3 linked regions of the Caenorhabditis elegans genome follow. The protein of the gene in region 1 interacts with the protein of each later gene in a biochemical or structural test. Each region holds a gene or a part of one and is shown on either strand. Other genes may lie near its edges.

The links. Proteins that work in one complex are often made in the same cells at the same time.
Region 2: of the proteins of akt-2 (region 1) and mdf-1, one has a biochemical effect on the other in vitro, tested with the Caenorhabditis elegans proteins (one study listed by BioGRID).
Region 3: of the proteins of akt-2 (region 1) and daf-16, one has a biochemical effect on the other in vitro, tested with the Caenorhabditis elegans proteins (2 studies listed by BioGRID).

What each region holds. Positions count from the first base shown.
Region 1 is NC_003284.9:14,144,257-14,153,240, forward strand, and holds akt-2 (Serine/threonine-protein kinase akt-2), read left to right. Parts: upstream 1-3,443; 5' UTR 3,444-3,450; coding exon 3,451-3,545; intron 3,546-3,748; coding exon 3,749-3,857; intron 3,858-4,749; coding exon 4,750-4,950; intron 4,951-4,993; coding exon 4,994-5,113; intron 5,114-5,337; coding exon 5,338-5,535; intron 5,536-6,006; coding exon 6,007-6,198; intron 6,199-6,308; coding exon 6,309-6,437; intron 6,438-6,484; coding exon 6,485-6,847; coding exon of another isoform or gene 6,848-6,892; exon of another isoform or gene 6,893-7,124; coding exon 7,125-7,304; 3' UTR 7,305-7,712; downstream 7,713-8,984. UniProt on the Caenorhabditis elegans protein: Acts downstream of PI3 kinase age-1 and kinase pdk-1 in the daf-2/insulin receptor-like transduction pathway. Essential role in regulating developmental arrest at the dauer stage.
Region 2 is NC_003283.11:9,540,074-9,547,351, reverse strand, and holds mdf-1 (uncharacterized protein), read left to right. Parts: upstream 1-3,125; 5' UTR 3,126-3,127; coding exon 3,128-3,332; intron 3,333-3,382; coding exon 3,383-3,943; intron 3,944-3,998; coding exon 3,999-4,267; intron 4,268-4,316; coding exon 4,317-5,191; intron 5,192-5,277; coding exon 5,278-5,407; 3' UTR 5,408-5,570; downstream 5,571-7,278. Other genes in the region: his-37 (Histone H4), read right to left, coding at 1-48, 123-218; C50F4.6 (Cold-shock protein), read right to left, coding at 606-803, 856-936; his-41 (putative histone H2B 3), read right to left, coding at 1,188-1,424, 1,639-1,773; his-35 (Histone H2A), read left to right, coding at 2,069-2,218, 2,351-2,584; C50F4.16 (Uridine diphosphate glucose pyrophosphatase NUDT14), read left to right, coding at 5,746-5,941, 5,990-6,459, 6,554-6,691, 6,745-6,853, 6,899-6,996, 7,046-7,278.
Region 3 is NC_003279.8:10,747,641-10,754,705, reverse strand, and holds the start of daf-16 (Forkhead box protein O), read right to left. Parts: upstream 4,209-7,065; coding exon 4,197-4,208; intron 4,144-4,196; exon of another isoform or gene 4,135-4,143; coding exon 4,051-4,134; exon of another isoform or gene 4,001-4,050; intron 3,813-4,000; coding exon 3,722-3,812; intron 3,669-3,721; coding exon 3,518-3,668; intron 2,288-3,517; exon of another isoform or gene 2,149-2,287; intron 1,641-2,148; exon of another isoform or gene 1,494-1,640; intron 1-1,493. UniProt on the Caenorhabditis elegans protein: Forkhead-type transcription factor. Binds to the promoters of genes that contain the daf-16/FOXO binding element (DBE), TTGTTTAC, in their regulatory region.

The DNA.
Region 1 (8,984 bases):
AACACATTAACTATTTATCTGTCTGTTCCCCATTTTCACTGACTCCACTCTTACATCTACTTTAAGGGTCCTTTTTCCATCCTTCTTTGCAGACCTAACAAATCTAAAAAAACAATCGTATAATATCTGAATTAATTAACCTTTCACGACTTGTAATTAACCCATATTATTATATTTGCTTGGAAAAATAGGATTTTTTAAAAAATGTTGACAGATCCTTTCCAATCATCAATTTCCCATATTCACCATGTCAAAAACACGTTAAGTATTTACGAGAACTCAAGCATGCTCTGTAGAGAACTGTTTAAATTTTCCTTATTTTATGTTTCCGGTTTGCCGACCTGTTTGAGATTTCAAAGCTACAGTATTTTCAAAACGATGTTGCTTTAATACTTATGCTACATTTATTTCTCTATTGGACCTGCACTCAATAATATCAATTGAGACATACATTTCCAGTCCTTATCTATTTGTCTTACTAAAATGTGAACTTTTATCAGTCTTGCTTTCAAGTTATTTTATTCCATTTCAGTTGTATTTTTTAATAACTTTTAATATTTTTGAAATGCGCTGTTAATATTTTTAATTGATACTTTCTATTTAATTTAAATTGTTTATTCCGTGTTTTTACGTGCATTTTCGGATAATCGGCTTCCAAATATACCAAAAATTGAGTGCCTACCGATTGAAACTGTAAGCTAATAACAACTAGGCCTGTTGAATGGGTCGAGATGGGTCGACCCGCGACCCAATTTTGGGTCGGGGTCGCGTCCCCGACCCATTTTCGGAAAATGTCTGAAATTGAAAAAAAAAGTTTGTTTTGTTGTAAATCGTGTTTAAACGTTGACTCTTATGCTTGTTTGTATCGAAAATAGGATATGTTTTTTTAATTGATGAAAATACGATAATTTTATAATTTTCAGCTTTTACACGTGTTTTTTGACAAAAAATAGTTTTTCAAGTTTTTGATAACTTTCTGTTAAATTTTGAAAAAAATGGGTCGGGGACATGACCCCGACCCAAAAAGTGGGTCGGGGCCGCAACCCCGACCCAAAAAATGGGTCGGGGACGCGACCCCAACCCGGCCGACCCAAAAAAAATGGGGCGACCCACTCCACAGGCCTAATAACAACAATGCAGACAAAATATACAAAATAGCAGTATATTCGAATAAAAATTCATATCTGTCCACTGCGAGAAGAACGAGTAATTAATATGTCTTTTTTTTTATATTTTGCACGTTTCTGTTTTTGTGGTGTCCTTGTTCTATATAAAGGACTACACACCAAAAAACAACTGAATAATAGACGTTGTTGACATGCTTGTTTGTGGATTTTCAGAGATCAAATCCCACGTTTTCGGTTTTTTTTGTCGTTTTTTCGGAATCTCTAAAATGTATATTCTTTGTTTTTAGTAGTTCATATTATTATAAAAGAAAAAAAACTGCACATCTGGTAAACAATATAGAAAAAGAGAGTTGCGAAACTTCAAAAATTTGTTATTTAATGTCTTGCGACACTTAAAAAACCGGCATTTTACAGTTTATGTTGTGTTTTTTGTTTGTCGGTTGTCTTATCATCTTGTGGTTTTGGATGCATTTTTCACTTGGCAAGTTGTTTACCACTTTCTTCCGACCGCATGCTTTTTTTGCTTCGTTGGTTTTTTCAAAGTAAGACGGTTGTCATACAACAAATATCACAAGGAAATCACATATTTCACTGTTTCAACACCATGCCCATTTTACTCCAGACAAAAAGTTACCTATGTAGTTCCACTAGACGTTAGGAAATATTATACATTTTTGAAATTCATTTTTATTTTAGAGATTTCAAAATTATAGATTTTTACTAAAATTGCACGGAACGGCGGAAATAAGTAGACGAACGCCTACAGTCAAAATTCACAGGAATACCTCGTTAAATTATTCCGCTTTAAATAACTAAAATTGTATATAACATCACACTTCTACTTCCAGTGAAATACGCCTCTTTCTGCTTAAACTTTTTGTTCAGTTAACCAAAAGAATAGAGATTTGCAGCAAAGGTGGAGTAGCTCTTGTGCACGTGGTGGCAGGCAGTCCCATCACGGTCTGATCTACAAAACATGCGGGAATTTTTTCCCCCAAAAAATATGACGTCAGCACACTCTTAGCCATGCGCATTCAGTTGAAATGTCTGCGTCTAAATTCCCGCGAATTTTGTAGATCTACGTAGATCAAACAGAACTGAGACAATTTGACACCACGTGTCAGTGGAAATTTCATTATAACGCATTTATGATATTACAAAACAATAATACAGTCACTTGAATCTTTGTTTAAGGTGGTTTATATAATTTTCCCCAAGTTAAATTCGAATAATAATTTGTTTTGAAGAGAAAACAAGTTACTAAATGTTATTAAATTGTGAGCAACGTATTGCGTACATAAAATAATTTTGCTTTATACTTGATCCACCAGAATTCACATTCCCTCGTTATTTGAAAATGTTTAGTTTCACGCACATGTTTCTCATATTTCATTATTCCAGAATTTTCTTCTTTTTTTTTTTGAAAACAAATCTCGCTTTCCAAAAAAATCAATATTCAAACGCAACCTTTCTCGTGATGCTGTTGACGGGGGGAGAAATAGTGTCTGAAGTTGTTTTCGTCCTTTTTCCTGCCGCAGCAAAAAAGGTCACATCCCCTCTCTTCGCTGCTATCTCTATTTCTCTCTCATCTCTCTTGCCGGCGTTTCTCTGCTTCTCCGCTCAAGTTTTGTCTGCAATCTTTTCCTTCTGTCCTTTTCCTCTGTTTGCCACAATACGTCACTAGGGGTGTTTGTTTTTCCCATAGTCTTTCGTAGCCAACGACTATTTTCTTCTTTTTTTTTTCGTGTTTTATCAAAGCTATGAATTCTTAGTTCGTTAGATTTTTTTTTGGAGGAAAAATTGTCGTAGAACCTAATTAGTGTTGAATTAAAAAAATTAAACTTCAAAGCCTTATTGAAAATATGATCAATTAAAACTAAATTGTTATAAATGTTTCATAACCATGAAGTTCAAACTATGTTTGTAAATTTTTAAGATGTAATGGAAAAGTTGTAATATTTAAGTGCTCGTGTAGTATATCTGCCCTAAAAATTTTTGCCAATAGGGTTTCCACGTGGTGTCAGAATGTCTAATTTCGGCTTGATCTACGTAGATCTACAAAAAATGCGGGAGAAGAGACGCAGAGCTCTCAACTAATTTTGCATGGTTAAGAACGTGCTGACGTCACATTTTTGTGGCTAAAAAGTCCCGCATTTTTTGTAGATCACACCGTAGTGGGACACGTGGTTTTCCATTTTTGGGGCAGGTATAGTACATAAATACCATAATTTAAAACTACCTTTTAATTGTATTTTTTTAACGACGTATTTTTCTTTTTTAAAACAAAATCTCTGAAAGAATTATCACTATTTACAGCGTAAAAATGTCTACTGAAAACGCCCATCTACAAAAAGAAGACATTGTTATTGAAAGTTGGCTTCACAAGAAAGGAGAGCACATTCGTAATTGGCGCCCCAGGTAAGTTTTTCATTGTTTTACCAGGCCTATGTATCCAATCTAGTACAGTAGTTTTAAGTTTCATAGCTACTGTCCCTTATGAAAAGATATTCAAAAAGTTTTCACTTTAATTGCACTGAATTGGAAATGAAAATCTTCCAACAGGAAACCAAAACTAATTTGGAAATAAATGAAAATTAAATCCTAAGATGTCAGTATTTTAGGTACTTCATCTTGTTTCGAGATGGAACGTTGCTTGGATTCCGGTCAAAGCCAAAGGAAGATCAGCCGTTACCAGAGCCACTGAATAATTTTATGATTAGAGACGCAGCGGTAAGTTTTTGAACCTGTAGATGGTTACTAGAAAGTTTTCAAAATCGTTGCTTTTAAAGGTGGAGTAGCGCCAGACAATTTACTAAGTTTTTGCCACCCATTATTTTGGAAGTCGACAAAAAGAATTTTTTCCAACATTTTTTATACTGTATATCTGTTTTAATTATATCCATTGAAACATTGTAAGGGTCGGAACCAGGGGTGTGCGGCAAATCTCAAAATTTACCGAGCTCGGCAAATTCGGCAAATCTATTTTTCCATTATTTGCCGAGCACGGCCAATTCGGCAAATTTGCCGTGCTTAACAAAATCGGAAAAATTATATATTTTTTGATATTTTTTGGAGCACCGAAACTACTGAATTCTTAACACACCTCTGGTTTCTGAACAAGTTAGATGTAGTGTGTCTGCTTAAACATCAAAATAACTCAATTTGTTGTCATTTTACTAAATTTTTGGCGAAAAAATCAACAGTTTTAGTCAAAATTGTACTGTCAAATTTTTGACGTGTGCGGCAAATTTCGAAATTTGCCGCACACCCCTGGTCGGAACATTCGACATTGCTTTCGATTTCTTCAAAAACTCATACTTTTCAAAACTTTGGCAATTTGCCAAAACTTTGACCGGAAATTATGAAAAATCTAAAATTTATTGGAATGCTTCATTATGATATTCGGACATTTTGGATTATTAAAAATGTGTTTGAACAAAATCTTCCCTGGCTCTACTCCACCTTTAAGCAGAAAGTTAGTACCCCAGTAATATACATATGTAGAAATCCCTCTTTAGTAAAAATTTGAAAACCTTAGCTGAACTTCAAATAAGTTTTTAAGTAATTGCCAGTAGGCAGTTTCCATATTGAAAACCGCAACTACCAAAATGCTTTATTTCAGACGGTTTGCCTTGACAAACCTCGACCAAATATGTTTATCGTGCGATGTCTCCAATGGACCACTGTCATTGAACGCACATTTTATGCGGATAGCGCCGACTTCCGTCAGATGTGGATTGAAGCAATTCAAGCTGTATCCAGTCACAATCGTTTGAAAGAAAATGCAGGAAATACCAGCATGCAGGAGGAAGATACTAATGGAGTATGAAAGTAAAGAGATTCAAAATTTTCATGAAATTTTTTAGAATCCGTCTGGAGAAAGTGATGTGAACATGGACGCAACAAGCACCCGTTCGGATAATGATTTTGAGTCAACTGTAATGAATATCGACGAACCAGAGGAAGTTCCAAGAAAAAATACAGTGGTAAGTTTCAAAATCCTGCCAACAAATCCACGTATTGATATGTGGAAATAAGAGGTTTTTAAAGAAAGTTTTTTGAGTAAAAATGATTAACTCGAAAGGCGCAACAAGTTTTTTTTGGTTGACAGGTTGAGCGAAACTTTTTTTTCTGATTTTCCGCTAAAAATTCAAGTTTTGCTTTGTATCTCTATTATTTCTTAAATGTATGTAGTTATTTAATTTTGCAGACGATGGACGATTTTGACTTCCTCAAAGTTCTCGGTCAAGGAACCTTCGGAAAAGTTATTTTGTGCAGGGAGAAAAGTTCTGATAAGCTCTACGCCATTAAGATTATCAGAAAAGAAATGGTCGTTGATCGTTCTGAGGTGGCCCACACTTTGACTGAAAATCGAGTTCTGTATGCTTGCGTTCACCCTTTTCTCACGGTATGCTTATTGGTCGAAAAAATATTGAGTCGGTGTACAATGTTGGCAGATGTCAGTGAAAATTGAAGTAGATGATTTTTTTCGTGAAAAAATCATGTTTAGAGAGACGGATAAATGCACACTAGGATTTCAACGATGGCGCTACTCTCGCCCGCCAGCACCACAATACGCCCCACACTCCCGCCGCCCTCACAACATCGCCTTTCTCTGTTGCACGTAGCTATAGTGGCGCGAGGTCCTGCGCGGCGTCGGCAGCAGTACACAGAGTGTGATAATGCTGGCGCATGGGCGTGCCGAAGTAGGGCGGGCGTTTCCGTGGAACCATATTTTTTTTCTCTAAGAAACTCTGAAATACATATTTCCTATAAATTTATCGATTGCCATAACTTTACAAATATATCTTACTTACAATTATTTAAAATATTTGAATTCCCCAGTTGTTGACACAGTGCCACAAATATATTTTTTCAGCTACTTAAATACAGTTTCCAAGCACAATATCACATCTGTTTTGTGATGGAGTTTGCAAATGGTGGCGAGCTGTTCACCCATCTTCAGAGGTGCAAAACATTCAGCGAAGCACGAACAAGATTTTATGGATCGGAAATCATACTTGCTCTTGGATACCTTCATCACAGAAATATTGTGTATCGTGATATGAAAGTAAGTAGAAGCTTTTTGAGAGGGGTTATCACAACTTGAAGTATTTGTCAGAAATTTTTGAATTTCACAACTTTGATGTTTTTTCATTGTTTTTTCCATTGTTTTTTCAGCTCGAAAATTTGCTTCTCGACAGAGATGGTCACATCAAAATCACTGACTTTGGGTTGTGCAAAGAGGAAATCAAATATGGAGATAAAACAAGCACCTTTTGCGGAACACCAGAATACCTTGCACCAGAGGTAAAGCCTTTCAATTCTCGCGTCAAGTTATTAGTCTATTGTTTCAGGTTATCGAAGACATCGACTATGACCGTAGTGTTGACTGGTGGGGAGTCGGAGTGGTCATGTACGAAATGATGTGTGGACGGCTTCCATTTTCAGCAAAGGAGAACGGCAAACTCTTCGAACTAATTACGACATGTGATTTGAAGTTCCCGAATAGGTTAAGCCCAGAAGCCGTAACATTACTATCTGGACTACTCGAAAGGGTCCCAGCTAAGCGGCTTGGTGCCGGTCCTGATGATGCACGTGAAGTTTCGAGAGCTGAATTTTTCAAAGATGTGGATTGGGAAGCAACATTAAGAAAAGAAGTCGAACCTCCATTTAAGCCAAATGTGATGTCTGAAACGGACACGAGTTTCTTTGACAGAGTACGTTACGTTTCAATTCTTTTGAAAGTTTCAGAAGCAATATGAGTAATTTTTAGAGTAAACGATTTACAATTAGGGCAAAGTGTTGTTATTTTTAGTACAGTTTTAAAAAAATGTATGCCAACGTACATAAGATTTCATTTAGTTTTTTTACTGATACTGAAACACAAACAACACTTTGTTTAATGACTAGGATTTTCCAATTTTCATAACAGTTTTCATAGTTTCTAGAAATAAGAGAACCAATGATTCAAAAATGATATTAACATATACTCAGGAGTTCACATCAATGCCGGTCCAACTGACGCCTCCACGTAGAGGGGAAGAACTTCCGACAGTTGATGAGGAAGAAGAATTACAAGCCAACTTCATACAATTTGCGTCATACTACGTGTCGGGAAGCTTGGAACGATCTTATGATACGAACAGAAGCGCTGACAAATACGAAATAAGATGATTTTGTTTTCAACAATTTTTTGTGTTTTCTGTACGTTTTTTTCTCATTCACTCAATTTTGTCAACATTTCATTGTCTCCTTTGAAAACTTGTTATCTCTTTCATGAACTTAACAAAATCTCTTTCAAACATTTCAACCTTTCCAAAAACTGAAACTTTGCGTAGAGCACATTTCGTGTTGCTCACATCCTCTGGGCTAATTTCCATTCCTTTCCTGTTAAAACTCCCCATTTCGCATCACTTTTTTGACAATGCTCTTTTATCATGTTTTTCTGTAGTACTTGATTCATATACCCATCTCTCGGGTATATTTAAAACTTTTAAAACACAGTTCCTTTTCTTGATAACATCTTTTTCTTGATATTTTGTCGCCGACATTTTTTCTCGGGAATGAACCTTTCTCACATGGATGACTTAACAGTACTTTTACATTAAGACAAATACTCAGTTCAAGTAACAAAGAAAACTTTTATCAGAATTTATTTAGTTCAGTTTTTGAATGTCTAATAAAAAAGTGCATTATATCTCAAAACTTTCGAACATAGAAAAACGAATGCTTTTAATAAGTTGTAATTGGAATTGAAACAGATTTCGAGAAGTGAAACAATGTTCGGGGATCCTGTGGAAATCTGTCATGCCATACGAGAAAGTACATAGCAAAGTTTTCGATTAGAATAGTTTCGAGTAGACCATCACTTCTCTCAATATCGAGTCCATATGTGCAATCCACAAATTCAAGATCATCACTGAAACGACAATTTAAAAAAAACTGAATTTTCAACTGGCAGGCTTAAGTTTAGACATATGTTCCGGTTAAGTGTAAGGCTTGGGCTTAGGTTCAGGTTAGGCTAAGCATTAAAATTGAAATCAGGTGTCGGCTTAGAAAGCTTAAGTTTCGACTTAGCTTATGTGGTTTTAAAGTGTAGTTTTTCTTTTTATTTTTTCCCTGTTTTCCCCTAGATTTTAAGCAAGAATAATGCATATCAGAATGATTCCCTCCATTTTTATGACTTGAAAATTCCAGAAAGTTATTATTTGGAAAAGACCTTAATTAAACATACCAGAAGATTCTTGCTCTACGTTTTGGATTCCATTTGGAATATGATAAACCTTTCAATAATTCGCCCGTCCAATTATGCCACCAGTAGTTCAATTGAAGTCTTCTCAGTTTCGGCGAATTCCCGGCCAGCCAGTAATGAATTTACTTATTCCGTTTTGTTGCCGAGACTGTATTGAGATCATAAAATCTCATTTTCTCGCAATCCATCATTTTCAAATCGTCTAGTGTTAATCCTGGGCCTTTTTCGATGTCCAATCGTGGAATATTGGCCCACTTAAATGTGAATATGCTCATAATTCAGCAAAGATATTTTCAACTTACCAGCTTTCTATCAATCTTGTCCTTGTGTAAACAATAAGTCAGGAATCCATATTTCGAATCGAAATTCTTCAATATAAATTCCATATCTTCAGTGCCAAAGTACGAATGTCCGAGAAGTTTTAGAAAATGGCATTTCCGAAACAAAGGGTGGCTCAAAGCAGATTTGAACTCCCCAAAAAGTTGATCATGGTCAATTGCCAAATCGACATGATCGATTGAAAACAATCCGTTCAAATAATCCAAAAGACTAGTCAACTGAAAGTTGTCATAGCCGACCAAATTTAGATTGTCTACCTTTCT
Region 2 (7,278 bases), on another chromosome or scaffold:
AGAGATACGTTTGACTCCACCACGACGAGCGAGACGGCGAATTGCTGGCTGGAAAGTAAATATTGAAAATTAGATAAAATATTTTTAAGTTAAAAATATATATTTATTTTCAAAAAACTAACCTTTGTGATTCCCTGGATGTTGTCACGAAGAACTTTACGATGCCGTTTAGCACCTCCCTTTCCAAGTCCTTTTCCTCCCTTTCCACGTCCAGACATGATTAAAAGTTGTTAGAAAACGAAAGCGAATGAGTTGATAAAAACAGAATTGAACGTCACTCGTCGTCGTTCTTTTATACGCCAGCAGAAATGGGTGGAGTCAGATTGAACCACCCTGCGGGGACACATGTCAGAAAAGCGTCACAGAAACGAAAAATACGTCAAAAACTTGGTGGCGTGTTTGCGGATTCGATGACGCGGGAAAGGTTGTGCAGCAGAAATAACAGTCCTCCAAGGGTTTTCCTTGAAATTCGTAGTGTTCGGAAAGACGGTGAAGAATAAATATCATATTTTTGAGCAAAATGGTTTTATTGATGTAAAAATAAGAGATCTTGAAAATAAGAATCGGTTTGAGAATTTAGAAATTTTCGAAAACGAAGAACACAACTAAGTACTCTTCGAACTGGATGACTGCTGCTGCTCCTTATTCTGCTCCGAAGTTTGCTGCTCTTCGTCATCATCTGAACCTTCTGGAACATCTCCATACTTCTCCTTGGCCACCTTGTTGAACTCGGCATTTGTTGCTTGACGAAGAACTGCGAGAAGCTCTGGATCGAGATTCATTCCCTCTGGGAGACCTCCCATCTGAAAAGATATTTTGTTTAGGCTATTCTAAGTAAAATAAAATAGGTCTTACCTCCTTCAGCAAATCATCGAATTGCTTATTGGTCATCTCCAATTTCTTGTTTCCTTGGCTCTTCTTGGTGTTCTTTGGCATTTTTGCGCGTCGATTTGGTGTTGTGCAGACTGGTTGACTAATGAATGCCAACGTAGTGTATATTATATACCCATATGCGGTGGAGGGGCGGAGCGACAGATGTCTGAGGTCACTAACGCTCGCACATGTTTCCCAAAATCGAGTTTACTTTACCAATACCAATTTATTAGGTTTTTAGTATAAAACAGGAACATATGAATAAATACATTGGGGAATAGGAGTGTTAATGGGAGATCGTAATCATTAATAAATTATTTACTGGAAGTGTACTTGGTGACAGCCTTGGTTCCTTCTGAAACAGCATGCTTTGCAAGTTCTCCAGGAAGAATGAGACGGACAGCGGTTTGGATTTCGCGAGAAGAGATGGTGGATCTCTTGTTGTAGTGGGCCAGACGAGATGCTTCCGAAGCAATTCTCTCGAAGACATCGTTGACAAACGAATTCATGATCGACATAGCCTTGGATGACACACCGGTGTCTGGGTGAACCTGCAAATTATTTAATAATATTTTTGATTTGACAGAATAACTACTTAATATTATTTTGATTTCTATGATCCCCCAAGACTAATTTAAATGATTTTTAAATACCGGTATTATATCGTTGCAGTTCGTACTAAGTGGTACGTAGTTTTAACATACAACATGCTAATGGCTAAAACATTTTTTTATCATAACTTATTCGATTTGAATATATTCTCACCTGCTTTAAAACACGGTAGATGTAGACCGAGTAGGATTCCTTACGAGCATGCTTTCTTTTCTTTCCGTCTTTTGGCTTGCTGACGGTCTTAGCAGCCTTTTTGGCTCCTTTAGCTGATGGTTTTGGTGGGGCCATGATCGAATGAGACACGAAACGAAAATGCGAAACGAATCGATGTGTTTGGCGAGTGTTGTCTATGAGCGCTGCGAAGCGCTTTTATACTCGCCAGCGGTGGCCCCACCTCTCGCTGCCGCGGAACTAGACTCCGCCCACACCGAGAGAAATAGTTAAATAGAGAGGCGGGCGCGTGTGCGCATGCGTATTTTGCATCGATTTTCGTCGGCTTAGACCACTTTTCTGTTTCTCTTTCACCTCCAATTTGCTCATCTAGACTTCTAGTTCATTGTTATTCAACCTAATTTCAGCAAAGATGTCCGGACGTGGAAAGGGAGGAAAAGCTAAGACCGGTGGAAAGGCCAAGTCCCGTTCGTCGAGAGCTGGACTTCAATTCCCAGTTGGTCGTCTTCATCGTATTCTCCGTAAAGGAAACTACGCACAACGTGTTGGAGCAGGAGCACCGGTATGTAGAATTTTAGAGCTGCTGTGTTTTGTGCATTTCCTAGATTAAAAAATCGTTCAAACCTGAACTTGCTAGCATTTTCCAAATTATATCACTTTTGCTCTTGTACTTTTTAAAAACATAATGTTCCAGGTGTACCTCGCAGCAGTTCTGGAGTACCTCGCCGCCGAAGTTCTCGAGTTGGCTGGAAACGCTGCCCGTGACAACAAGAAAACCCGTATTGCACCAAGACATCTCCAACTCGCTGTCCGTAATGACGAGGAATTGAACAAACTGTTGGCTGGAGTCACCATCGCCCAAGGAGGAGTTCTTCCAAACATCCAAGCCGTGCTTCTCCCAAAGAAGACTGCAGGAGACAAAGAATAAGCAGTGTCACAGATGAATATTGCAACTAAAGATACTCCGCCCCGTTAATTTATATGTCATCTGAATGTATTGTTTACTCGGCTGAATTGTAAATGAAATAAATTCATATACTTTGCAGTTATCAGTAAATTATTTTTTAAAATGAAAATAAGAATTTGTTTTAAATACAATTTTTCCAGGTAAGAAACTTCCCAAAATTCGGATTTTTGAAAAAAAAACTATTCGCAAGATCATATTTTCCTATTTTTGCATGTTCTTGTGTCCGAACATGTTTCCGAATGACCAAATAATAATAAAAAATGAGGCTGAAGAATTGCTGGGAAAAGTGTGCGGCAGCATTGCATAATGCCGCGCCCTTGCAAGTGGGCGGGAAGACGTTATTTTTAAGATTTCTTCGCAGTTTGTTTGGTGACATTCGATAAACTGTTTTTGTGCGAATGGATTTGTTTGACTTCCCTTGATTGCATTAAACATATTATTAATCTCTATCTCAAAATTCGAATCGCTCACTGTAATACATTATGTAACTGATTTTTTTCAGACATGAATTACGATGAAGACATTGTCGATGAAGACGAATATGAAGAGTCGGAAGCTACAATGTTGTTCGCTGAAGAAATCAAAAAACAGTTCAAAAGAGAGTTTCCGTTGAAAGCAGAGACAGAAAAAAAGCTGAAGCAGGCAACATTTCGTCGACATGCGCCGGTGGAGGCCAGAAAAATCAATTTCGATATGACACTCTCACCTGGTAAATTAACTTAATCCATTTATTAAAAATGTTTAAAATATTTTATTTAGTGGCTCCAATCGAATTGGCAAGTGCAAAAAAAGAAAAAGAGTCGGCACAGCGTCAATTGGTAACACTCCGTGAAGATCACGAACGTATGAAACAAATGATGCAAACGAATCAAGCGAAGTTGGCTGAAAAAACCATTGATCTGGAGACGAATCGTGAGAAAATGTTGGAGCTGCAAGAGCAAGTCGAACTTCTGAAGCAAGAACGAGATGACACCATCGCAGAGTGTAATCGAAACGTTGATATTTGGACAGCATTCGGCAAAAAATACTACACTTGGTACTCAATGGCGAATACTCAGCTGGAATCTGTGAAATTGTACATAGACAACGACGGAAAGTTTGAAAACGACGAAGAAGTTACACGATTGAATGCAGTTCCAAGACAGATGTACAGGGCTCTTGAACAATTCGATTATGATGATGAAACAGTAGAAGAACTTGGTTCAGGAAGTCTGCTAGAATATGAAGGTGTTTCATTTGCTACCCGTAGACCACCATCTCCTGAAACGGAAAGAGAAATCGCTCGTGCTGATCAATCGGCTGCTAACTTTACTCTACCTCGTAAGTCCGGAATTTTCAAACTTTTGTTTGCAGGCAAATATATTCGTATTTTCAGAATCCAATTTCACACTTCTCGAGGATTCAAATAACACCATAATGCCAGAAGATCAAACAATGATGACTGATGGCTGCATTGCCAATCGATCACTTATTGATTACGAGAAAGATGAGAAAATTCAGCGATTACTACTGGAAAACAGTGTTCTCAAAGATCGTTTGAATGTCTCGAGTGGGCGTGCTGAAAGGTCGATGATTTTCGAAGAACGTAATCGTACTTTAGAGTTTGAGAAGAAAGCTCTCCATAAGCAGTTGGACAGCACATTTGTGAGTGAATAATTATTGTTAAACTAATTTCACGTTTAATTTATTTTAGAGTGAGATTGAAGCTATTCGGATTGGCCAAGCAGGGAACTTGTTCAATATAGACGAGAAAATTCCTTCGAGTTCAGACAATTCCGCTAAGCAACTGCAGCTCATTGACAGAATCACTCAGCTCATTACGAAGAACAATCAGCTCGAAAAAGATTTTGAAGCAGCTACTTCCAGAATGACGAAAGTTATGCGAGAAAGCACAGACTGTGCTCGTCGCAACGAACGACTTGAGGATGCTTTTTCGAGCGAGAGAGTCAGAAGCCAAGACCTTGAAAATGAGAAAAGCCGGCTCTCTGAACAGTTAGAGTTGAGCAACAATGAATTGGAGAAGGTCAAGAAACAGTTGGAAGAATCTCAATCTCAGCTCGATGAAGTTCTCAGCATGACTTTAACTGTCCCAGCTTCAGAACCGGCATCTTTACCTGCTCCAACCGATGCCGGAAATAGTACACAGATTTTCCATATGGCTTCTAATCCACTCCAAGATGCTCACAATGAATTCCAAGCGTCTGAAAGTAGGAAAAGAAAGTTGACAGATGCTCCAGCTGGTGATCAATGGAGAGAGCAAGAGTTTGCTGAATTGGAGAAGCGTCTTTACGACTGCGAAAGTGAGAAAAAAGTACTCGAAAGTAGTTACAATCTTCATAAGGAACTCTCGTCGAAGTTCCGGCAAGTTTGTATTGCTCTGACCGGTCTCCAAATCAAACTGAAAGATGCAGACGAAGGAATATGCACTGTACAAAGCGAATATGAAGGTGGTTCCGCTCAGCAGTTCGTGTTTAAGTATTTCTATGGAACTCCTCGCATCGATATGCTTGATGTCAGCTGTGAATCAACTACTGAAATGCTTCGAAAGTGGGAGCCACTTATGAAAAAGTTTGTTAATTTTCTGGTTACTTACTATTAGAAGTATAAATACTCCCCGTTGTTGTGAGGCATCTTCTTAAAATATGTTTTTTCAGGTACATTGGCGACCGAAATTCGATTCCGGCTTTCTTAGCAGCAATGACTCTTCAGCTGGAACAGGATCGAGATTTTGACGAGACGATGCATGAGAGAACACATACATTCAGTGTCTTACACGAGGACTAAATCATTGAGCTATCTAGATCTCAATTATTTTTCTTCAAAGGAGAAGCTGTTAAATACACTGTTACCTGAATATTTGATGTTTCATTCCATTTTATTTATTTATTTTTTAATCTAAAACGTGTAGTGATCAAAATTAATCACACAATGAACGTTATATTTTCTTTCCAATTCAATGTTTACTATGGTATATTGTTTCGTACAATCTAAAGTTTATCTGCTCGTATATAGGAGAAATACCATTATGAAAATAGGAAAATTGGTTTTTGAACATCCTGTATTTTTCTAAAACGAGTTTGAATGATACCGCAATTAAATGATATAAGAAAATATATTTTCAGATGACAGCGTCAAAAATTAGTGATGTCTCTTTTGTGACTGATTTTGTATCAAAATATCAGAAAGGAATGGAGATGTCTTACACATTGGATGGAAATTCACGTGTTAGTGAATTCAATCAAAAAATGAGCAGTGTATCCATTCTTCTATTTCATAGAGATTTAGAGCAATTTCTTCTAGTTCGTCAATTTCGACCAGGTTTCCAATTTTATTCTATTGAAATGTGAGCGTTAAGTTGTTTTTTAGCAATCTTCACCGCATCAATTTCAAATTCGCCGGAGAATCACGGTAAAGAATTTGATAAAATTGACTGGAGCAGCTATGATTCTGAAACTGGCTACACCATTGAACTTTGTGCTGGACTAATTGACAAGGAAGGATTATCTCCTAGAGAAATTGCATCAGAAGAAGTTGCTGAAGAATGTGGATATCGTGTGGATCCTGATGATCTAATTCATGTAATAACATTTGTTGTGGGTGCTCATCAATCTGGAAGTGCTCAACATTTATATTACGCGGAAATCGACGAATCCATGAAAATCAGCGAAGGAGGTGGAAATGTTCATGAGGGAGAAGTAATTACTAAAGTTTATTACCCTGTCAACGTTGCACGTGAAATTGCACGCCCTGCTATTGGAACACATGCAGAAGTGAAAGGACCTCCAGGCGTTCTTTTTGCTTTTCAATGGTGGTTTTTGGTTTTGGATCCAAAAAAGGTGAATAAAAGCATATTTTTATTTAACTTTTGAAGACTGGAAAAACCCTTCTTAAAAAACGTGTGTTTACGACAATCATTTAAAATTTTTACAGAAAGGGCTCATCGCAACTCCACCAACTGGATATCAATGGCAGCCGCACAATGTAAAAACCATTTCGAACGTAAAATTCAACACTGATTTTGACAAAAAGAAGTATGGTTATAATCCAAAGAGAATGATTTTCACAATTGTGAGTTGAAGTAAAGTTCTTAAATTATATGTATAAATGAGAATCTCTTGTAGAATGGAATAACCCGCAACTGGGATTTAGCCTTATGTCCAAACACAGCTACATGTATTCTTGTAGATATGGTGAAGAAAGAATTGATTTTCTTGCAGAAACTCCGTGCACGTAAGTAATTTTTAAATCGAACTTTAATGAAATGTAAGTTTACAGCGGTGTTTGTTGGAAAAAATCGTTTTTTGAAAGAAAACATTGGAAAGCCTCTGGATGAGATTGATTTCTCGAATTCCGATCCTAAAATTGCATACACTGTAAGTCTAGAATGCTGTATTTCCCACAATATTATATGTAATTTTCCAGCTTGAACTCGTTGTTAACCGTGTTCCGGATTTCGACGATCCTCGAAAATTCGCTCGAATCTCAGTGAAGCAACTTGGCTACGATCTTCCAGAAGATTCGTTTAAACTCCAAGCAAAGTGTATTCCGGGAATCGGTCAATCTGGAGACACCCAATCTATTTTTGCCGTGGATGTTAGTAAAGCACGACTTTGTGAGAAGGAAGAAGATGAAGACATTGAAGAACTTCGTGTTTC
Region 3 (7,065 bases), on another chromosome or scaffold:
AATCCTTTCATCCTCTCATCATTAACGTCATCATAGATTTCACGTTGACATTAATCAGTGGGGAAAAGCTGGAAGGAGTGAATGGAAGATTACGGAGAAAGCTTATAACATCAGAAGAACGTGGGAGTCACGTGGTTCCGTGAACTATCAACTTTTTAAGCTCGATGAGTTTCAGATAATCCAATTTACAGAATCCTCAAAGAAGCGAACACTAAGGTGATAAACATTTTGTTAATCTTTATCCGATGTGCCCATCATCAAATCTGTTGAATGATTTGAGCAAAAAAAAGACGAATCACATGCTCATTTCATCAGTGTTAGAAAATAAGGTGATCGTTGAGAGACGAAGGCAATCGGAGAAATAGTTGAGCACAGATCGGAACCGATAGCATTGATAGATCTGTGTGTGTGGGATCCAAGAGGTTTAGGGCTCAGTGAGCAGTAAGAAGGATATTGTTGAAACAACTGATAAAGAAGATTACAGTATTCTAGGATACATTTTCATATAATTTTCTTCTTATCTCAGATGGCTAGATGGAAAATTCGAGACTAGAAACTTGAAGAAGACTGATAAAACTATTCCTTCTTATATTCTCGAGGCACGTAGACATCTAGACACTCGGCAAAAAAACCTCCAGGGAGGAAAAAAGTACATCGGTATTCCCATTTGGTCTCGTTTTTCGATTCTCTTCACAAAAATCGAGAGGAGACATCGCGAATCGAACACGGGGGAAACCGGTTTTCATTTGCAGAGACAAAAAAGGGAAAGAGATAACGATGGCGACGACGACAGGGGAAAAATGTTGCGAGAGTAGCGATGTTGGACAAGTTGCTGCAATATTTTGCACTGAATCGCGAAAAAATTTGGTTAGGATTTCCCTTTTTGTGATGAATTCATTATATGAATAACGTCATTGGAAGACTTTCCGACAAAAGAAATTTTTTTTTTGAAAAAAAAAGCGTTCCAAAATTCCGAAAAAAGCGAACTTCATGTTCCCCGTTTTCACTTTTATTGGGTTGTTTTTCAGACAGACACATGCCAATACCATTTGTGTGTAAAGTGATGGGTTAAAAAGTCAACAATGATTGCGGGGAATTTTTTCGTTGTTGTTGGTTTCAACAATATTTGAATTCCAAAAAAAAAGGACCAAAAACTATAAGAGCAATGTATAACAAGAGTTTCATCGGAGTAACAAGAAACGGGAGTGTGCGGGGAGAAACAGAGAGAGGGCAATAACAAAAGTGCAAAACCAAGAGAGAGTCTAGTTCAAGTGCGTTATTAGTTAGCAGAAACCTAAAGATTTTTCGTGGGAGGGGCTTTTTACAGTAATTTCAGATTATCACATCATCTAGTTTACGCCTAGAACTCTGACCTTTGAAACTGTTTTTTTAATAATTTATTTTCAAAACAGAATATACAACGTCACTTGCCGTTTTTGTTCTTTTTTGATTTTTTACATGAGAAAGAAAAATCGGTGTCAACGCGTCTGACTGACTTTTATCTTTTGCAGCAGGCAATTGATAAAGACGCCTGGCAATGTATGATGAAATGATCAAAGACTGTCAGTATGTTGACAGTCAAAAGGAGCTTGATTATATAGCGCAATGGAGTGGGAAAGATTTCGTGAGAGTACAAAGAACAAATAACTCAATGGTAATTCCGATAAGCTAGATCTAACTGATATTTTTGGCCACCAGATTTTCAGGTCGACTAAAAAAAAGTGAGGTCTCGATCAAATTTCACTGAAAATCAGAGCGTAGGAAGGAAGAAGGACTAAAGGCCAAAACAAACACTTTCACTTTCACCAGAGAGAGGAGGCAGCAAAAAAAATCACAGACAGACCGTGAGTAGAACACACTACTTTTTTTCCTTTTTTTTCGACGCGAGTCTATCCAGACAACGAGACACTGAAATCCAATGGGACGTGTATAGTAGGAAGGCTGAGTGGAATGACAATTAAATTAAAGTACCGTACTGTGTGAAAATGGTCGATATTGTAGAGACTCTTAATTCAAAAAAAATTGGCTTGGGGGCACAAGATCGCCAAAAAAAATATTTTCGATATGATATTCCCATATTTAGAATCAACACTTAATTTTAAGATGTAGAGTTAGTTAAAAATTCCAAATATAAAAAAAGCGACTTTCAGGCGTTGCCTGAAACTTTTCAAGCTTTTTTAATAAAGGTATATGATTTTCCTACATTTCTGTTTTAATTTTTGATTCAAAAAATTTGAAATCATACAGGAATTACCAGTTCTGCCAAAAACCTCCTTATTTCGAAAATTTGAATTTTCTAAAATGGAACCATAATAGGTACTTCGTTTCTGTTCTCTGATTTTCGACCTATCGTCTGTTCTAATCAAAAACCCCGCTACAACAGTGTGCAAAAAGTGCACTTTTCCGTTCTCAAATACCACTTGCTCTCTCCCTTTCTTTCAAATGTTTGCCATTTTGTGCTTCCTTCCCGTAGAGAGAAGAACAGCTGATGTGACAGAACAGAGAGAGAGAGACAGAGAGACTCTGTCTGGCAATACAGTGAGGGAGCAAACGCGTGACAGTTTTCGACCTCTGAACGTCACACCGTATACAATGTTGCACACAATGGTGAGTAATTGTTGAGACGGGCGACGACGGTTTTTAAAAGAAATGGGGTTACTGTAGAGAGAAATTATTTTTAGAACGAAAATACGATTTCTGTCTTTAAAAAAGTTGAATCAGAAACTCATGATATTAAAGTTTGCATCAAATCTAATTTCCAAGCAATCAAAAGAGAAAAGAGAAAATAGAAAACCTAATCACCAGTTGTTTGCAAACTGCAACTCCGCGAGAAAAAAAAAGAGAGAAAAGAGTCAAAAGATCGGGGAAACCCCTTTAAATTCTATTTGCCTCTCCTCCTCACATGCACGTGAATTTCCCGTGTGCTTAGTGGACCAACAGCTGACAATAGGCTTGTTGGCCTATAAAAGACGAAAAAGTGTTAAATGATTAGAAACAAAAAACAACTAAAACAGTGATGACATCAAAGGGTTTTCCCTTAAACAAATCTCGAGGTCAGCAACAATGAGAGAAATCACTTTTGATTGTGCCAACCGATCGGAAATAAAATGGAGAAATTGGAAGAGTAACGAAAAAAAGAAATTTCGATGATCAAAAATCAGAGCGAATGTGACAGATAAAAGATGACGCGACACGACCACAAGAATTGAAAAATCAGAAACAGTAAAAGGTCAGCTGAGACCTAAAATTGAGAAAAATTCAAGGCCATTCGGCATATATATATATATTTCTATATATTTTTTTGTTCTTTTTTAATTTAAACATTTAAAATTTTGAAATTTTGAAATTTTAAAACCGAGGCTTGTTCACAAGCCAAAACTCTTTCAAAAATTGATAAAAAGGGCAAAAATCATCAACTTTTATAGCGTTTGTCCTTTTTCCACGAAACAATGCTTTTAGTGCAATTCGACTTTTATGAACCTTCACAAACCACCTAAAAATCTTAAATTTGGCGTACCTAGTTCTTCCGCTGTCAACAGTCTCTAAAGATGTGTGGAAATACGGAGAGAACGAGCATTTTTCGCGAAGAAATTGTTGAGAATACTGGGTTACTCCGCCAAAAGAAGCCGAACGCTCTTGTTGATGGAGGTCGAGATTGAAGAAATCATCTGAAAAAAAAACAAATAAAATTGGAATTTACAACTTTAAATCACGAATTTACCGTCAAAATCAGTGGAAAAACTCATTCCGGAATCAGGCCTTGCCGGTTCGAGATTGTGCAGTGTGATGTCAGATGGTAGCGGCGAATCGAGCTGAAAACTGGGCAAATTAGACGAAAAAAGCGCGCTTTTTTGATTTTCAACTGTAAAAGCTGTGTAAACTTCCACGATTTCGCACAAAATCGGGTTCAAAACAACTATTTTTAGCAGCGAAATGAAGAAAAATAGGGAAAAATGATTGGAAAAAAATTTCGAAAATTTGAAATTTAAACTGCGAGTATACGGTAGTTCTCGATGTGTGTGCAAGGTGTTTGCGTATGCGGCGCCATACCTCACGACAGTTCCACGCTTGCATGTCCTGTGAGAATTTTTGCAGAAAATTTCGGCACTTCGAGCAATGTAATGAAGACTTTTGCTGCAAATTTTAGTTTGATTTTCAATTTAGAATCATAATTATAAGCAAAAAATGTTAAAAACCTCGAGTTGCATCATTAAAATACAGATAGAAATTGAATAGAAGTTACAATGAGGAAATTAATTTCAAATGAAACGTTTTTATTTTGGATAATTTTGAAATCTTAACTAAAAATGAACATTTCCGACGTCTCGAACTGATAAAAAGAGAGAGAGAAGAAGCTTATTTTGACATAAAATGTGTATAGAGGAAGATTTTTTTGCAAAAAAAAAGTTTCTTATCACAATCCATTTTTGCCCACTTTTCCACCATTTTTTCCATCACATGTTCTCGTCAAATGATGGAAAAGTAAACCGATATGTCTTTCCTTGAGAAATAATATGAAGAAAAAAAAAATAGAAAAGAGGACATTGGGAATGCTTTTTTTTCTCGTTGGTTGGCGGCCGGCGACAGAGGTTTCAGAGATCAACTTCTGAGCGACCCCATGCGAGAGTTGTTTACGAGAAAGTGCAAAACTGTTTTATGAACTTTGAGACGGAAAAGAAAAAGGGGAAACGAAAAAAAGAAGATATAAAGCGAAAAAGCAGCAAGCTCGCCCCAAACGAACTCACTATTAGGAATAAAACATGAGTTTTTTAAAGAGAGGAAATCGTGAGAGAAGATTTTGGTAAAAAAATGATTTCAAGAAAAAAAAATCAGAGTTCGTAAATCTACACTGTGCAAACACCGGAGTTTACGAAAAAGTACAGAAAATATGAAGGTTTCAAATTCAAATTTTTTAATTAAAGAAAGGCGAAAATTTCTTTGAGCTGGAAAAACTTTGGAGAATATATTATATTTTTTCGAAAAAAAAAATATTTTTCTAAAAGTATATAATATTAATTTTGGTTTTTTTTTTCTTTTTTTTTGAGGAAAAATAACAGTTTCTTACGAATTTTTTTCATAAATATAGCAGAAATGTAATTAAAATTCGATTTTTTTTTGTAAATTTCCTTGAAATTCTGTCAATTTTCCTTCTTTTTTTTTGAAGAAACACCTTTTTCTAAACATGTCGTTAACAATAGTTCCAAAAAATTGGATTTTTCTCGTAAAACTTCGAAGCACTTTGGTTATTACGGGAACACAAAGTTTTTAGAATGCGTATTGCAAAACATATTTTACGCGCAAAATATCTCGTAGCGAAAACATGACTACTGTAGCGCTTGTGTCGATTTACGGGCTCGATCTTCGAGATGAATTTTATTAAATCAAAGGATTTCGAACATCGAGCACGTAAATCGACATAAGCGTTAGAGTAGTCAAGTTTTCGCTACGAGACATTCTGCGCGTCAAATATGTTGTGAAATACGCATTCTCACAAGTTTGTGTTCCCGTAATAGAGTTGCCGATTTTTTTTAAAAGTTTTCTAATCTCCAATTTTTGGCAATTTTTTTGCTTTTCAAAGAAATTTTTTTTTCTTTTTTTTCTTTTTTTTTTTTTTTCATAATAAAATTGCGCGTAAAATTAGATGCACTGACTCCACCCCCACCAATAGATCAAACTATACGCGCTAAGTCTTTTCAATCTTTCTAAACAATCTTTTGCTGCATTTTGTAAATAACTGAAAAAGAGCAGAAAACATGCAAAACATAGAAAACACTCATGTTTTTCACAAAAAAATAACTTTTCAAAAAACACGACGAAAACTATTTTCAATTTGCTACGTTCTATTTTCAATTGAAAACGATCAAAAAGTGTCTCTTACATAATCATCTGACGGTTATTTTCGTGGATCATCATCAAAACCCACCTGTCTTTTTCTTCTTCTCCGGGCACAGGAGAAGAAGAGGAAAAGACTTACTGAATTGTGTGTTAAAGTACACTAGACAGAGAAACAAGTCAACAAAAACGGGCGGAGCCACACATAGATGCCTCGTCATTCACGTGCGACCCTTCTTGCGCCCCGCTCGCTCTCTTTCTCCAAAAAGTGATCGCTTAAAATAAGAGATCACAATTGTGGCGGCGGGCGCCAATGTTCCCGCCGGTTGCCCTGTGATCTCCGAAATTCAAACCATGAAACTCTTTTCCATTCTTTTTTGTGTATGTCTGTTTCAAATTGTTAACAGAAAATGTGATAAGGTATCGGTGTATGATCCACTAGAAGGGTCTCCCCATATGAATATAATGTGAACCTATGTTTTTTTGCAAATTTAGTTTGAATTGTTGGGGAATGGGTATCATGTGCCTTTTCGTCTGCAAAATGGGTCTAGACGAATCGAAAAAAGAAGAGAGATACACTCTCTAGCAGATGGGCCTTCCCCCCACTGAATTTCAAATTTAGCAGGTGACCGTTGAGATGTACTGGGCCCGTTTTTTTTTCGAATAGAGGAAGTGAGGGATGGCTTTCGGGAGATAAACAGATGTTTTCACTACGGTGATGCACATTTGCTCTACCGATATTACGGAAACAAACAATTCTATTAATGCGTATTGCGCAATATATTTGACGCGCAAAATATCTCGTAGCGAAAATCACTGTAAATGACTACTGTAGCTCTTGTGTCGATTTACGGGCTCGATTTTCAAATTTAAATTTAAAAAATTTCGAAGGAAAGTGAAAAAAAAAGTTTGTTCTCGCAGTTCGAAAATATATTTATTTCAAAAATCGAGCCCGTAAATCGACACAAAGCGCTACAGTAGGTATATAAAGGGTTACTGTAGTTTTCGCTATGAGATATTTTGCGCGTCAAATTTGCTGCATTCTCAGAATTTAGTGTTTCCGTAATAAAAAAACGAGAGAAATAGGGGAAAATTTAAAGATATGCATGAAGTACGGTAGTTGAAAATTTTTGAGCATGTCAGGACCGAAAAGTTTAAGAAATCTTTTCTCTTATTAACTAGAGTTCCAGAAAAAAATTTTTTTAATGAAACTATACTGTAGTTTTCATAAAA